Linked DNA regions of Oryctolagus cuniculus. The protein of the gene in region 2 interacts with the protein of the main gene of each other region in a biochemical or structural test. Links are inferred from orthologs where the notes say so. Each region holds a gene or a part of one and is shown on either strand. Other genes may lie near its edges.

Region 1 (7,820 bases), on a different chromosome or scaffold from region 2:
ACTACAGAAGGCCATGTAAACTCATCTAAAGTTGGGTAGGTTTTGTGGTATAGTGGGTTAAGGAGGCCTGGGACCAAGTCTCTCCTGTACTTCCAGTCCAGCTTCCTGTTAACATGCACCCTGGGAGGCAGCAGGTGAAGGCTCAAGTACTTGGGTCCCTCCACCCACACAGGAGACTTGGATGGAAGTCCTGGCTCCTGGCTTCAGCCTGACCCAGCACTGGCTGTTGCAAGTATTTGATCTCTCTCTCTCTCTCTCTCTCTCTCTTTCTCTCTCTCTGCCTTTCAAAGAAACAAAAGAAACTTTAAAATAAACTTATCAGAAACTAAGTTGTTCACTAAAATCAACTGTTGTGCTTCACAAACATTCTAAGACAACCTAAAGCAATCAGGTTTTCAAATGTTTGGTCTGAAAAGTAAATCACACTGGAAGACCTAGACAGAGCTGGACATCTGCTGCCACCTGCAGGTCAGTTGGTGAAAAAGGGAGGAAAAAAGTAATCTAGGACCAAATGACTGATCTGTTTTTGGACTTGATTAAAGACCACTTTGCTGTGCTGGGATCACGTGTTTTCTGGGCATAGATGTGAAATAACTCACAGGATTTACTCAGCTGCTGTGCCTGGAAAGGATCCAGGACTATTGTGGATAATTCTAGACTTTAGTGATACACTGAAAATTTATGATCACCAAAGTTCTAAATAACACACTCTTTGTATAAATGTAGGGCCATGCCAAAGAACATTGAGCTATTTGTTACCAAGTCTTTAGAATATCCCTGACCTGTTCAATAGTCAAGACATCTAAAATAAAAATGCCCTGGGAAGCAGAGTCCATGTCTTGGATAACAAAGATCTTTGGGACTCTTTCTGTAGCTTCAACTTCTTGCCTTAACTACAACAATTTAAATTTTAAACCCTAGGTAGCATCTAGTCAAACACTCTCACTTTCTAGATGAGGACAGAAAGCCCATGTAATTACACCATTTACTCAAGGGCATATAATTATTAAGAGGTAGAATAAAGAGAAAATTCGGTTTGCCCAATACCAGTTCAATGCTTCTACTTCACAACACTGTAAATAATTATCTCTCAAAATCTCCTGCCAGTGCAGGCAAAAATGAATGATGAAGGCTAGCATTTAGGATATTGCAGCTTGGTCCCAAAATCCACCCATTGCAGCTTCGTTCCCAGAACCTCAAGTCCATGTTGATTATCATACACTACCATGGTGATGCCCAGACTCCAAATGTCAGACTTCACACTGTATCCCTTCTGGTTGAGCTCTGGGTTTATTCTTTCAGGCTGGAAAGGAGAGAGACAAGTGAGAAACTGGAAAGATAACTGAGATGACATTTTTAGCTCAATAAAGTCTTTGGGATGGGGGTCAGCACCACCGCCAAGTGAGCTGTTTTAAGCTGCTAACATGACTCAGGTCAGAAAGACTCCATAAATATAACAAATAACCATATCTCCATGGGGTTTTCCAGATATGTTAGTCTTTTCTCAGAGACAATAATGGGTCAATGTTCATTCCCAACAAATTTTAATTTTGCCCTAAGAAGAAACAGGTTATATGTCATAAAACTCCTTTGTCCATCTAGATTTACTCTTGTTAAAAATACCAACAGTAGGGCCGGCGCCGCGGCTCACTAGGCTAATCCTCCGCCTTGCGACGCCAGCACACCGCGTTCTAGTCCAGGTCGGGGCACCAGATTCTGTCCCGTCTGCCCCTCTTCCAGGCCAGCTCTCTGCTGTGGTCAGGGAGTACAGTGGAGGATGGCCCAAGTGCTTGGGCCCTGCACCCCATGGGAGACCAGGAGAAGCACCTGGCTCCTGCCATTGGATCAGTGCGGTGCACAGGCCGCAGCGCGCTGGCCGCAGCGGCCATTGGAGGGTGAACCAACGGCAAAGGAAGACCTTTCTTTCTGTCTGTCTCTCTCACTGTCCACTCTGCCTGTCAAAAAAAATATATATATATACCAACACTAATAAGAATCCCCAAGAGTGACCGAGCTCTGTCGGGTGAGAACACACCCAAGAAGCTTTCATCTAAAGACAAATGGGAAGCTTTGCAATCCCAAACACAAGTCCATTTCCAAGCAGGATACTCCCTCAGTTAACGAAGATCCCAAGGTCTCTGCTAACGGCAATGAATGTACACAGTTGTGAGGTTCTCTCACGATGAAATGGCCTTCCTTTGAGTGATTTAAATTCTACTTGCTATCCTGTCCTCAACAAACAAGGCGACATTCACCTACAAGTCACCGTGGAAATTCTGTGAGCTGTATGTATTACTTGTGAGTTTTTTCAAAGAGTGTATTGCTTTGATTTTTAGGAAAACAAATTTCGAACACTGTAGTCTGAATGTTTGTGTCCCCCCAAAATGTTGAAAGTCATCCCAATGTGCAGGCATTAGGGGGCAGAGCCTTTGTGTAGTGAGTAGGCTTCAGCACCAGCTCCAGCAGTGCCCTGAGAGAAGAGGCTCTGTAGTGAACCCCTTGTCTCCACCACATGTGAGGGCACAGCTAGAAGGCTCTGTAGTGAACCCCTTGTCTCCACCACATGTGAGGGCACAGCTAGAAGGCTCTGTAGTGAACCCCTTGTCTCCACCACATGTGAGGGCACAGCTAGAAGGCTCTGTAGTGAACCCCTTGTCTCCACCACATGTGAGGGCACAGCTAGAAGGCTCTGTAGTGAACCCCTTGTCTCCACCACATGTGAGGGCACAGCTAGAAAGAAGGCACCATCTGCGAACCAGACAAAAACAGACCCTGAATCTGAAAGCACTCTGATTGTAGACTTCCCAGCCTCCAAAATGGTGAGAAATACATTTCTGTTGCTTATCACCCCTGAGTTTACTCGTATTTTGTTAAATGTGACCAAAGGCACTAAGACAATGTATGAAGCCAGTGACTAAGGATTTCAGACCGGAAATCTTTAGGAATAAAGAAGATACAGAATATTTCTTGAGTCCTCAGGCACATTTCCACTTTTTTTTTTTTTTTTCAGTGGCTATCACCAATTTCGTACTTCCTGGAAGGTGCTAGGAAGTTTTGCCAGCACATTCATTCTGACACCATCCCCAGCTGCTATACTTACGGCCATGTATGGTTTGCAACCCGCATCAATTGTTTTAGCAACTGAATCCACCAGGTAGCCACTGATTCCAAAGTCACACATCTTCACTTGGCCCAGGGTATTAATCAGCACATTAGAAGGCTTGACGTCTGAAATAAGAACAACCGGAATCCATGATTCCAGCCTGCTTGGAAGTTCATCTCTCTGCCAGCAGGTGGCCTGAAATCTCTACTTGCCCTTCATCTTCTTTGCCCTAAGCTGCCCAAGACAAAAGTAACTGTCAACCTGGACACATACTTAAACACTACTCACTGCTTTCAGCTTGATTTTCCATTTCATGTTTAGTAGTTTTCTTGAAGGATTGCAATTAAAAATCAAGAAAAAAAATGATTTCCTCTACTCAGCTTTTCACCTTCATTGCCCCCACACATGTACCATGAACTTAAAAAACTATTGCTGTACCACATGCTCAGTTCAAAATAATCTGTTGCATACAGGGTACTTTGAAAAGTTCCTGGAAAATGAAATTAGAGGATAAGTTTATTTTGGCACAAAAAAAGATGAAATCTATGCATAAAAGAGTTCTTCAAAAGTTTGTAGAAAATGTGTTATGAAAAATCTACGTATGCATTAAAAATTCTGTACCAAAATAATTGTGTATTTTAGTTGCATGAATTTTTTAAGTACCTTCACATATACTGGAGGAGTAGTAGAAGAAGGAATGAAAAGGTAGATTTTAATACAATGATGATACACTAGCCGGCGCCGTGGCTCAATAGGCTAATCCTCCACCTTGCGGCGCCGGCACACAGGGTTCTAGTCCCGGTTGGGGTGCCGGATTCTGTCCCGGTTGCCCCTCTTCCAGGCCAGCTCTCTGCTATGGCCAGGGAGTGCAGTGGAGGATGGCCCAGGTGCTTGGGCCCTGCACCCCATGGGAGACCAGGAAAAGCACCTGGCTCCTGGCTCCTGCCAGGATCAGCGCGGTGCGCCGGCTGCAGCGGCGGCCATTGGAGGGTGAACCAACGGCAAAGGAAGACCTTTCTCTCTCTGTCTCTCTCTCTCACTGTCCACTCTGCCTGTCAAAAAAAAAAAAAAAAATGATGATACACTAACGAGGATCAAAGCAACCAGTTCTGCAAGAGACGTTTCAGGTATCACCATAGGGTAACACACAATAAACCCAGTATTCCAGAAATACGGGGCAGATCATGGGAGAAAGGGCATTACTAGGTGGATTTTAAGTGAGTTCTGTGGACTTGAAAGATATAACCTACCTATTCACATGCTCAAAAAATGAATTATTGTTATATCTGGGTAATGAAATTAGAAAATAGTTATTTTTTCCATTTATGACATTCTTTATAAGGAACATGGAATCAGAAGGAGATAGTTACTCTAAAAGCCTTAAAAATTATCTTTCATAATTTTTTCCTGAGATTGAATGACATATATATGTAATTCATTTTATTATTTTGTATATCATATATACATTCTCCAATAGGAATTAGTATTTCATAATTTTAAAATAAACCCTTAAAATCAGTTTCACATTTGTTGGCAGTCCATATTCTTTCTCCAATATGTATTCCTCCCTACTTTCTTCTCTTCTTCCTATTTTTCCAATTTTTAAAGACAACAATTAGTAATAATAAAAACAATAATAGGCATACTTTGCAAGGCACTTTACATTATTTACAGCCTCAGAGTTTAAGAACTACCCAAACCACAAAGTTTTATTAGATGAAATTACTTTCCATGAATTTTCTCAAAGACCTAGCCAAAGGCATCTTTACAAAGATTTCCCTGGCTATTGTCTCCCAAAGACCAACAGTTCCTGTTTTCCATTCTACCTATATTTGCATATCTGATGTTGTCATATTTGTAAGGTGGTTTATGTTTTTCCCATGTTCTTTTTGTATCTTTCATTTGGTTCTCTATCAAAAGAGCCACAAGGGAAAAAATGAAGGCAGGAGAGAAGGAAGTGTAAAATCATTTCATTCTGCCTTCTGGCTGTCTGAAATGGTTCTACTTTATACCAGAGACTTTCACACATTTTTTTTGTGCACAAGAGTCAGCTGGGGGCCTTGTTAAAATGCAGAATTCAGATTCATTTGGTGATTCTGCTTTTCTAACAAGCCACCATGTGATGGTCAATATAAGATGGATTTTTATCTATTTTCTAAAATTCTGAATGATGTAATCCCAAGCACTGCTTAGTAACAGGTACTTTATATTCAGCTTAGGTAGACTTTAAAGTCCATGTCTTCCTTAGCTCCCAGCCAAGTTAAAGAAAAAAAAGCTTCTTATTTGATTGGCTATCCAGTCCTCAAAGGAAGCACTTAGTTCTACTGCCTGACTCAACTCCACAGCCATCCTTGGGGAGGGATGGAGGGACTCCAGGTAAAAGAAATAAACTTTATAAGAGGAATAGCCCAGGAAGCTCCATGGTTCTTACCTCGATGAATGACAGAGAGCTTACTGTGTAAATGTTCTAATGCTTTTACAATCTGCAAGAGAAACACAAGATAGATTTATTTACCCTATCACTGGAAAGGAATTGAATGACAAGTATATCCAGGTTTATTATCCCTGGCTTAAGGAGACAGGGTGAGGTATTTTCTTAAATAGTGCTGTCCTATCCAGAAAAATACACAGGGAGTTACACAAATTGACTCCATCCACAAGAGAGGACTGTATCTATAGCAGAGAAGATGCCCCACACTGTCTATCTTGTTTTCATTTGTCCTCAAGAACTGTTTTCCTTCTTTACCCTCCTGAGCCTTAATAACCATTAAGGTCACAGTCATTCCTCCTATTTCTTCTATGCCTATTGGTCTTAAGAAAACATTCAAAACTCTACAAATAAAAATTGAAAACACAGGAATGCAATCATAGCAGATGAACACACTGCTTACAGTCATTTAACCTGGAAATGACAAAACTCAGTCAGTGGGAACATTGCTATGTGGTGCTCATAAGGAAAAAAAATATTTATCCATCTACCAATGAACTCATGCATTCAACAGGCACACGCTGGATGGTAGCTACTGTCCAGGCAGAGTTTCTTCATACTGAACATACATAGACATACATGGCCTGGACTGCTCACATTCTCCTCATGCTTGCTCATGATGTACTCACAGAAACAGCTATTTTCCCTAAGATGTCCTCTGGAATTGTTTGGCCTTTATCAATGACTTGTTTGTAGAATTTATCTAGTGATGTATCCATGAGCTCCATGCAGATCCAGACATCACCCTGAAGATCAATAAGTTCATGGATTGTTAAAGAGAATGGAAAAGGGAAAGACAAGAAACAGTTAACACCAGTCCTCAAGAACTGACCATTGTTTGCTTGAGTTTTGGGAGGAAATGCACATCTTCCCTTCAGGATCTCAAAGGAATTTCTAAGTGAGCAAGATTACCTCCAAAGAGCAACCCAAGTAAAATGTGTTGTGATCTCTCACTCATTCACAGAAACTAGAACCTAATTCCTAATGACCATAAGCAACAGAATCCTAGAAACCCAAGCCTTTACCATCACTGCCATCCAGGAGGATGTCCAGATACCTATCAATCTCTGATTTCTCACACTTGGTCAAAAGTCTGATTTTAAGACTGAGGTAATGCTTCATACTTCATGTAACAGCAAAGTGAAAAATGGAGGTAGAGGAAAAAGATAAAAGGAAATCCAAGGGGTTCATAAACGTATATTTGGCCAAAGGATAAAGCAATCTACAGATTCAATGTAATTCCTATCAAAATACCAATGGCATTCATAACGGAGTTAGAAAAAAAATCCTAAAATTCATATGGAATCACAAAAGATCTTAAATAGCTGAAGCAATCCTGAACAAGAAAAACCAAGCTAGAGGCATCACAATACCTGATTTTGAAGCATTCTACAAAGCTATCATAATTAAAAAAGCTTGATGCTGGCATAAAAACTGATACACAGATCAAATGAACAGAACAGAGAGCCCAGAAATTAATCCACATACATATAGCCAACTGATTTTTGACAAAAGTACTCAGATCATATGGCAGTATAGGGATAAAAATCTCTTCAACAAATGGTGCTAGCAAAATGTATGTATATGTGTAGAAGAATTAAATTAGATCCAAACCTCTCACCATATACAAAAATCAACTGAACATGGATCAAAGGCATAAATTTAAGTCCTGAGACTCTGAAGTTGATGGAAGAAAATGTAGGGAAAACGCTCCAGGACATTGATGTAGAGGCCAACTTCTTGGACAAGACCCCCAAAGCATAGGCAATAAAAGCAAAACTAAACAAATGGGACTACATCAAACTCAGAAGCCTTTACACAGCAAAGAAAATAATCAATAGAGTGAAAAGAGGACCAAGAGAATGGGAAAAAATGTTTGCAAACCGTATGACAAAGATTAATATCCTGAATACTCAACAACTTAAAAAATTTAACAAAAAAAATCAATCCAGTTGAGAAACAGAAAAAGAATTTCAATAAAAGTTCTCAATTAAGCAACACAAATTCACAACAAATATATGAAAAAATACTCAACATCACTAGCCATCAGGGAAATGCAAATCAAAACCACAATGATATATCACCTCACCTCTGTCAGAATAGCTAAAATCCAAAACAGGGAGTGACAGATGCTGGCAAGGATGTAGACAAAGGGGAACACTTTAATACTGTTGATGGAAATGTAAATTAGTGCAGTCACTGTGGAAAACAGTGTGGAGATTTCTCTAA
Region 2 (7,820 bases):
TCTTCACCGTCATTAAAACTATACAATGCCCACTTCTTTAAAAGGGTTTCTCCTTCGCCGCAGATGTCAATCTCCAGCAGCCCAGGAAACCACTCCTCCATGAGAGAGTCAATGTGGTCCACGACTTGGCCCAGTAGAATGCAGCCTGCATAATCCAGAACAGAGTTCAGTTGTCCGTCTACGTCTTGCCTGCCCCAGAGCTGGGGAAGAACTGCGAAGACTTCAAGTTAGATCTCCTTAGAAGTGTGCACAATTCACAGTTTAAATCGGTTCCCCTACCTTTTCTACAAGAAGGAACTGTAATCTTTAAGAAACTCTCTGGGTGATGGTCTAAGACTTCAGATCCCACCAGGCAGTAAGCTTCAGGAGACCAGTTCAGGTAGATGCCCTGGCGCCAGTACATTCTGTTGGGGCGAAGCGCTCGTTCTGAAAGAGGGTCAGATGGATCCGGGAATCAGTGACCCCACGTAAATGGGGGGAGGCTGACAGTACTGCACACACAAGACACAGTATTCAAACCTATCTGTGTTCAGAGAAGGCTGTGGCTTGTTAGTGACACACATCTTCATGGTATCGACTAACTACCCAGCAGTATTCAATAGTTCACCCTTAATTTTGCAACAAAATTAATTACTTGTGCTATAGAAGACCAAAGATACATTTTCAGTTCATACTGATAAGCACTTTAATATGATTAACAAATAATGAAGTGTAAATAAGCACACTTTTTACAAGATTTATTTACTCTAAATGCTTAGCATCAGAGGGCGAGATAGAGAGAGAGAGAGATCAAGAGAGACAGTTTGCACATCAATCAACCCCTCAAATGCCTGTAACAGCGAAGTGTGGTCCAAGCCAAAGGCAGAAGGCAGGAACTCCATCTGGTTCTCCCACAGGGGCAGTAGGAACTCAAGTCCTTGGGCCACCAGCTATTGCCCTCCCCTGTGCAACAGCAGGGAGAGGGAATGGAAGCAGAGCAGCCAAGCCAGGACTCAAACTGGCACTCCAATACGGGATGCCTGTGTGACAAGTGGTAGATTAACCCACTACAACACAATGCCAGCCACCCTCATAATGTTTTGATGGTCACAGTAAAACTAAAACCTCCTGAGCAGTCTAACTACTTATATGTGGATTAATTACCAGCAAGATAAAGTTTATTTTGGAAAAAATATTTTTAAAAAATTGGTGTTTTCCCTTTGAGGCACTTAGACATCTCTTCAGTTTAAGAAAAACAGCTGACTTCATAAACATCCATTTTTGTTCTTTTTGTCAGTTGCTTGAGGATGGTACAACAGAACACAGACATTATGGGCCCTCCACGGCGCGGCCAGAACCTGTCACATCTGTTGACTAACCTCATTGATTATATAGTAATCATTGCATTTTTGTCTTTCATGAGTGTGTGTGTGTGTGTGTGTGTGTGTGTGAGAGAGAGAGAGAGAGAGAGAGAGACAATGAATTCTAACTAATCTCACCTTTTAAAATTATTGTTTACAATTTGCTGTGGGCATGGAAAACAAGATATTAATGCTTGCTGGGAACGTGTTAAAGCACTTGGGATGGGCCGGCTCGAGGGCCTGAGGGATGTTCTTCCTGACACATGGCCTGAGTCTGTGTGTGCTCATGCACCTTTGTACTGGCCAAGCTCAGTTCTCAGGAGCTTGTCTTCCAGAAAGGCAAACTCAAGGAAACTGGCATATAATGTTTAAAATGCTCTGCCCCTAACTTTTGTAAATACTGTCTTCAGTATAAACTTACCTCTTCCCGAAAGCATGTAAGGTGAGATCTCAAGTAACCGGTTAATTAATCTTGACCAAAACCCCATGGGGAAATAAGGCATTTCATAGAGCCGGATGATGATTTCCGAGTTCTCACAGTGTGGAAGCTCTATTACGGGCCGGTGGTCAGAGAGACTAAAGGGAAGAGGACATCGTCTTTAGGAAGCACCAACATCACCAGCCACGTTGACCAAAGCACTTACTACTCGAAACCAAGGAAGCCAACCACTGTAACTGGTGACACACTCTGCAAGATTCTCCACTCTTTGCTCTTCTTGTATCAAATGTTTGATGGGCATTTGATCAACTCAGTGCATACTCAGATATAATAGATGCAGGAAAGGTTTTCAGTAACCCTTTGTATCCAAATCATTTATTATAGTTAGCCATTTACAAAAATATCGATTTTATAAAACTTGAAAAAATGAGCTCAAAAAAAGTATCTTTTTTAGAATTGCTTGCCGTCCATCACTGTCATTTGCACCTTTCAACATCATAACACTTTATGGACTTCCCAGGTTGCTCAGAAAGCAATGAGGACAAATTTCTACAACACAGGACCAGAATTTAGGATTTCATTGTGATGGAATGAATCATTTAAAAACTCTGATCCACTTCCCTAATACAGAAATTCTCTCAGCACTGTGTGAATAGGGATACAGACACACACACACACACACACACACACACACACACACCCCTCTAATACTGACCCTTCTTAAGTAACTTAAGCAATAGTAAACCAAAGAGTAATTATATAAATAAAATAAGCCATTTGCTATGAACCATCAAACACATTGTTTTAATTAAAAGCAAATGCTATATTTCAGTACAAAGTTTACACAAGAGGCTAAAAATTTCATACATCTATTATAAACTGATTTTATCTGACCATTAAAACAAGGCAGTAGGTCATTAATTTTCATGGCGTAATAGTTTTAATGGGTTATTTTACCTGCTTGGAACCAGTAAGTACTCTTCTCCTATTGGCAAGGCGATCTGGAATTTTTCCAGGAGTTTAACGTACTGTGTCATGTAATTCTTTGGAAATCTCCTTTTCTTCGACAGGAATTTTTCCACATCTCTACGTGAAATAATTCCCTTAGGATGTTTCGGATAGCCTTCCACTTTCACTGTCAAAATCTGAAGAATTCGAACTCATAAATATCAATCACTAGCACTCATTTTCTGAAATATTTCAAATTTAAAGTGACATGAAATGCTTTGTTAAATTGTCAGAGAAGGTCTTAGAATTTTTAAAAAATTAAACAAATAAATGGTTTTCCTTATCAACTAACCTGTGAGAGCAATCTGAGTTTCCTGTAAGGTACAGAATGCAGCAGGAGTCCTGACTACCATTTCTATTAATTAATGGTCCACTGTTCCTGGTCTTCTGATAACAATACAAACTATTATGCATTCATTGACTACAATTCATGTCAAGTGCAAATGACCAGAACAATTTAAATGTTGTTAAGTACAACTGGGGACCTAATTTCTCTAGTAGCCTTGAATCCCAAGAGGGTACCCACCCTTCCCAATGTTTGTTAAATTAAGAGTCTGAGTTCAGATCACAAATATCCTCTGAACCTCAAGACTTCCCCGCTCTAATTCAATGATAAATCCAATACAGCACATCTGTACTGCAGCCTCATCAGTAACACAGTCCTGGAAAAGTGCTCTCTGCCAGTCACCCCTCCAGGTGTGCAGCAGAAAGATCACCCGATGGGTACAGAACAGGCGAGGTTTCTGTTCCTGGGCAGAGGCGGAGGAGAACAGTCAGTGAGTCTCAGAGTAACTACGCTTCTGCTGGATCTGCTCCCAGAGTCTGGGTCAGCAGGCTGGGCTGAGGCCCAAGAATCTGCTTTTGAAATAAGCAACCTGGGGGCTGGCGCTGTGGCGCAGTAGGTTAATCCTCCACCCAAGGCACCAGCATCCCATATGGGCACTGGTTCTAGTTCCATTTGCTCCTCTTCCAGTCCAGCTCTCTGCTGTGGCCTGGAAAAGCAGTAGAAGATGGCCCAAGTCCTTGGGCCCCTGCACCATGTGGGAGACCTGGAAGAAGCTCCTGGCTCCTGGTTTCAGATCGGTGCAGCTCTGGCTGTTGTGGCCATTTGGGGAGTGAACCAACGGATGGAAGACCTCTCTCTCTGTCTCTCCCTCTCACTGTCTGTGACTCTACCTCTCAAATAAATAAATAAAAAATCTTAAAAAAAAAGAAAGAAGCAAACTGGACAATTCTAACACGGAGACCACAATGTGAGCCTTGATCAAGTCTCACTTGGTCACTTGAGACGAACCCAGGTTCAAATCCAGGCTCTGAAGCAAGTGGGGTGACTTCAGAAAAGGGATTTAATTTCTTTAAGGCACAGCCTCCTTCTCTGTAAAAGGAGATGAAAACAATGACTGTCCCTTAGATTTCCACGAGAGTGGAAAGTGCTTGTGACACACACACAGTCAGCCCTTGCATTTTAGCTCTAGCTACCTACAGACTCTCTCTTCCTTAGCCGAATTCATTCCCAAAAGTAGCTTGGGCTTAATTCTCTCCAGGTCCAGCATGCTTGAGCAATATTTTAGTAGCAACAAACACTATTTTTGTTGCCATGTACTGCGCAATACACTGAACTGTAAAATCCTTAGGTCCAGGGACTGCTCTGACCATGTCTACGCTCCTGTTTTGTGTATATGGTATTTGCTGAATCAATGAACGAATGACTGTTTGAACATACTGGTATTTAAAGACAAGGTACAAAGGGCCATTAATAGATGAAAGCTAGTTCAGAATTCATCTCAACTGTGGACTTTACAGGAGACCCAGTTTGTCCAAACTTGTTAGGTGGAGAGCAAAACCGTTTCCTATTTTAGTAGGAATATCGTTGGATGAATGAACTCGGAAGTGACATCTGGGGTGTCTTACCTTAACTGACAGGCACTCAAGTCCAACTACTCAGCTTGAAATCCTAACTAATTCTTCTGAACAACATAGTGCTAGGTGAATTATTCACCCTTTCTGCCCATCAATTTCCACTTCTCCATGCTGTGTATGTGAGCCATTATTGTCTAGTTATTCTAATTTGTTTTAGTTAGATGAACTCATTTAAAAACCTCTGTGCTGAATTTTTTCTGCAGATCTGTATATTATGCTATCACTTTTTATAATGGTTTCCAAAGACCGATATCATCAGTGCTTCCCCTATACATGTGTCCTGCTCAATTCATGAAGAAGCAGAGTCCATTCTCTTCCCCCTTGAATCCAGGATGGCCTGATGGTTGCTCTGGTCACTGGACGGTAGCAGAACTGACATTTTGCCAGTTCTGGAGCTACACTTTAAGAGGACTGGTAACTTGCACTTTGTTCCTGTTGGCTGTCAGTCAGCATGTGAGGTATCTAATCACCCTGTGACCATCATGCCATGATGAAGCCCACCTGGGCTACCAGAGGGGCACCAATACACCCCAAATGTGCAGAGATATTTCCAGAGCCTTCCAGCCCAGCTCAGTGAACCATGACAAGTGAACAGCCTTTGCCCAGCACCACGTGGGAAGGAACCACTCTGCTGAGCCCACTCAACCCAGAGACGAGTGAGAGATTACAAACTATTGGTATCTTAAGTCTACAAGTTTGGGAATGCCTTATTACACAGCAATAAAACCTGAAATACTATCTTAATTACATTATCTTTAAAAGATATAACTTCTTACCCTAGTGACTTGCATGGCTGACTTGCACTCTCATTCAAGGAAATACCATTTCCCCAGTTCCTCTGTATTTCTTCCATGTATTATTTTTTTTTTAAAGATTAAATTGCCAAGAAAGCATTCTAATGCTCCACTTGATTAAATCAACAAGCCCTCTTGGAATCACCCTAAATGCCCATCACCAAAGACTGGATAAAGAAATTATGGGATATGTACACTATGGAATACTACACAGCACTAAAAAATGAAATCTGGTCATTTACAACAAAATGGATGAATATGGAAAACATCATAGTGAAATAAGCCAGTCCCCAAGGGACAAATACCTTATGCTCTCCCTGATCCTTGAGAACTAATAGAGCACCTAAAACGAAATCTGTAGAAGTGAAATTGACACTTTCTAAAGGGATGACTTGAGCTGCCCTTATCTTGATGTTGAGAGACAGTTTTGTCTTTTTTATTTTTTCTGTTTTTTTTTCTTCATACTATTTGTTGAACTCTTTACTTAACATAGAGTTTATCATATGTGTATAAACTCAAATGAGGATGGATCTCAGTAAAAAATAAGAGTGGGAATAAAAGAGGAAGGAGGAAGTTTGTAACTGTAAAGCTGTAGAGTTCTGCAAACATTCCTATGGACTTCTAAGGGTACAGTTTAAAAGCTTGACATGAGACCCCAAATCCCATTAAACTGGGTGGTAAAAAATGCCACCTCAAGTGTTAAAGTGATCACATAAATAGGATCAAGTGTCTGGTAATAATAATGGATAGAAATAAAAAGGAGAGAATGTTCCAACATGGGAAGCAGTCCACACAGCAGAATCTCATAATTACAATTGCTTAAATAACACTCTGAACTCAGAATCAGCCCTTAAGGCTTCCTGATCTGGCTGAAAAGCCCCTGAGAGCATTTTAGGCATGGACAGCCAGAACTCCGCGGCAAAAAATCTTCTACATGAAGGATCTCTGTGAGTGAGATCCCAGAGGAAAGAAGTGGCCATCATAGCAGGATGTTCTCTAAAGGGAGGAGAGAACTACTTTGCCTGTGGCCTTGTCTAAATACTGACAGATTTTGTGGATTCAAAAGGATTCCATAGCCTAGGCAGCTCACATCAAGAACCTCAAGTGATCACTGATATCATACATAATAGTGTTAATTGTTAAATTAACAACATGAGTCACTGTGCACTAAATTGTTCTCAGTTATGTGTGTGTGTGTGTGTGAGCAAATTGTTAAAATATTTACTCAGTATAGAGTTGGTCTTCTGTGTACAAAGTTAACTGAAAATGAATCTTAGTGGAGAATGAGACGAGGAAGGGAAGGAGGAGGAAGGGTGGGAGGGTGAGTATGCTGGGAAGAGTAACCATATTCCTAAAGTTGTACTAATGAAATTTGTATTCCTTAAATAATTAACAAAAAAAAGAATAAATTGCCAAGCAAGCATGCCTTTTTTTTTTCTTTTTCATGTCTTTCTCACACAGCTAAGTAAGTTTCACAAACTCCTCCCTGAGTTGACAGCAATGCAGGGTACAGGAGGGTGGGTGGGCTCCTCTGAGCTCCTGCACCTCGGAGTTGTTCTCACCCCAGCCCTGGTGACTCATGGAGGGAAGACCCCTGTTTATTTCTGCTGATGGTGTCAGACAAGTGGCTCTTGTTCGCGCTTGACTATTTATAGTTTCCATTCCCTGTGAAGCTAAGTGAAAAATGGCATTGTATTTGAATTTATCAGCATAAATAAAAACGATGGGATTTATTTTTCAAGTGAATGAGAAATCTAAATTTACATTTTTCCTGACATTTCAAATCTGTGCAAGTAACTGAGCTATTCAACCTCTGGATTTCATTTCCACTTCAATTAGCAAGTTTGTATTCTAAGTATGCTAGTGAGAAGAAATTTCATGGAGTTTCAACTTAATTACTCCACAGAACCTGGGAAGATCACTGTGTGGGAACCAGCTTGTTTAAGAAAAGCCCGGTTTTCACTCACAGCTGCTTCTCACTCTACCCTAGCAGACATGCTCACCCAAAAATCATTTACATACATGTGACTTCAGATGTCCCAAAGCCTCACGAAACCTCTCTCTCCCGGGGGGAGTTCTGGTCTTTTCTTGGCTGCACACAGCTTGGCTGTTTTCTGACAGTTACAGTGTGCCACCCAGGAAGACAAATCTGCCAGGTCTGTCGAAAACTCCCTTTCCTGTATGGGATGCAGCTACTTGCATACATTTTTTATTTGAATCCATAACTGATGCACTTTCCAAAATGAAATGAGTGTTTTTCAGTTTTAAAAGTATTTCTCTTCACTTTCTAAAGTATTATACCTTACATTGCAAAATGGC

The links.
Region 1: of the proteins of LRRK2 (region 2) and MAP2K6, one has a biochemical effect on the other in vitro, tested with the Homo sapiens proteins (2 studies listed by BioGRID). The link is inferred for Oryctolagus cuniculus from reciprocal best matches to the Homo sapiens genes LRRK2 and MAP2K6.

Annotation. Positions count from the first base shown.
Region 1 is NC_091448.1:10,247,380-10,255,199, forward strand, and holds part of MAP2K6 (dual specificity mitogen-activated protein kinase kinase 6), read right to left. Parts: intron 6,338-7,820; coding exon 6,221-6,337; intron 5,587-6,220; coding exon 5,535-5,586; intron 3,229-5,534; coding exon 3,101-3,228; intron 1,304-3,100; coding exon 1,226-1,303; intron 1-1,225. UniProt on the Homo sapiens protein: Dual specificity protein kinase which acts as an essential component of the MAP kinase signal transduction pathway.
Region 2 is NC_091440.1:131,853,619-131,861,438, reverse strand, and holds part of LRRK2 (leucine-rich repeat serine/threonine-protein kinase 2), read right to left. Parts: intron 2,925-7,820; coding exon 2,737-2,924; intron 1,917-2,736; coding exon 1,762-1,916; intron 427-1,761; coding exon 280-426; intron 146-279; coding exon 1-145. UniProt on the Homo sapiens protein: Serine/threonine-protein kinase which phosphorylates a broad range of proteins involved in multiple processes such as neuronal plasticity, innate immunity, autophagy, and vesicle trafficking.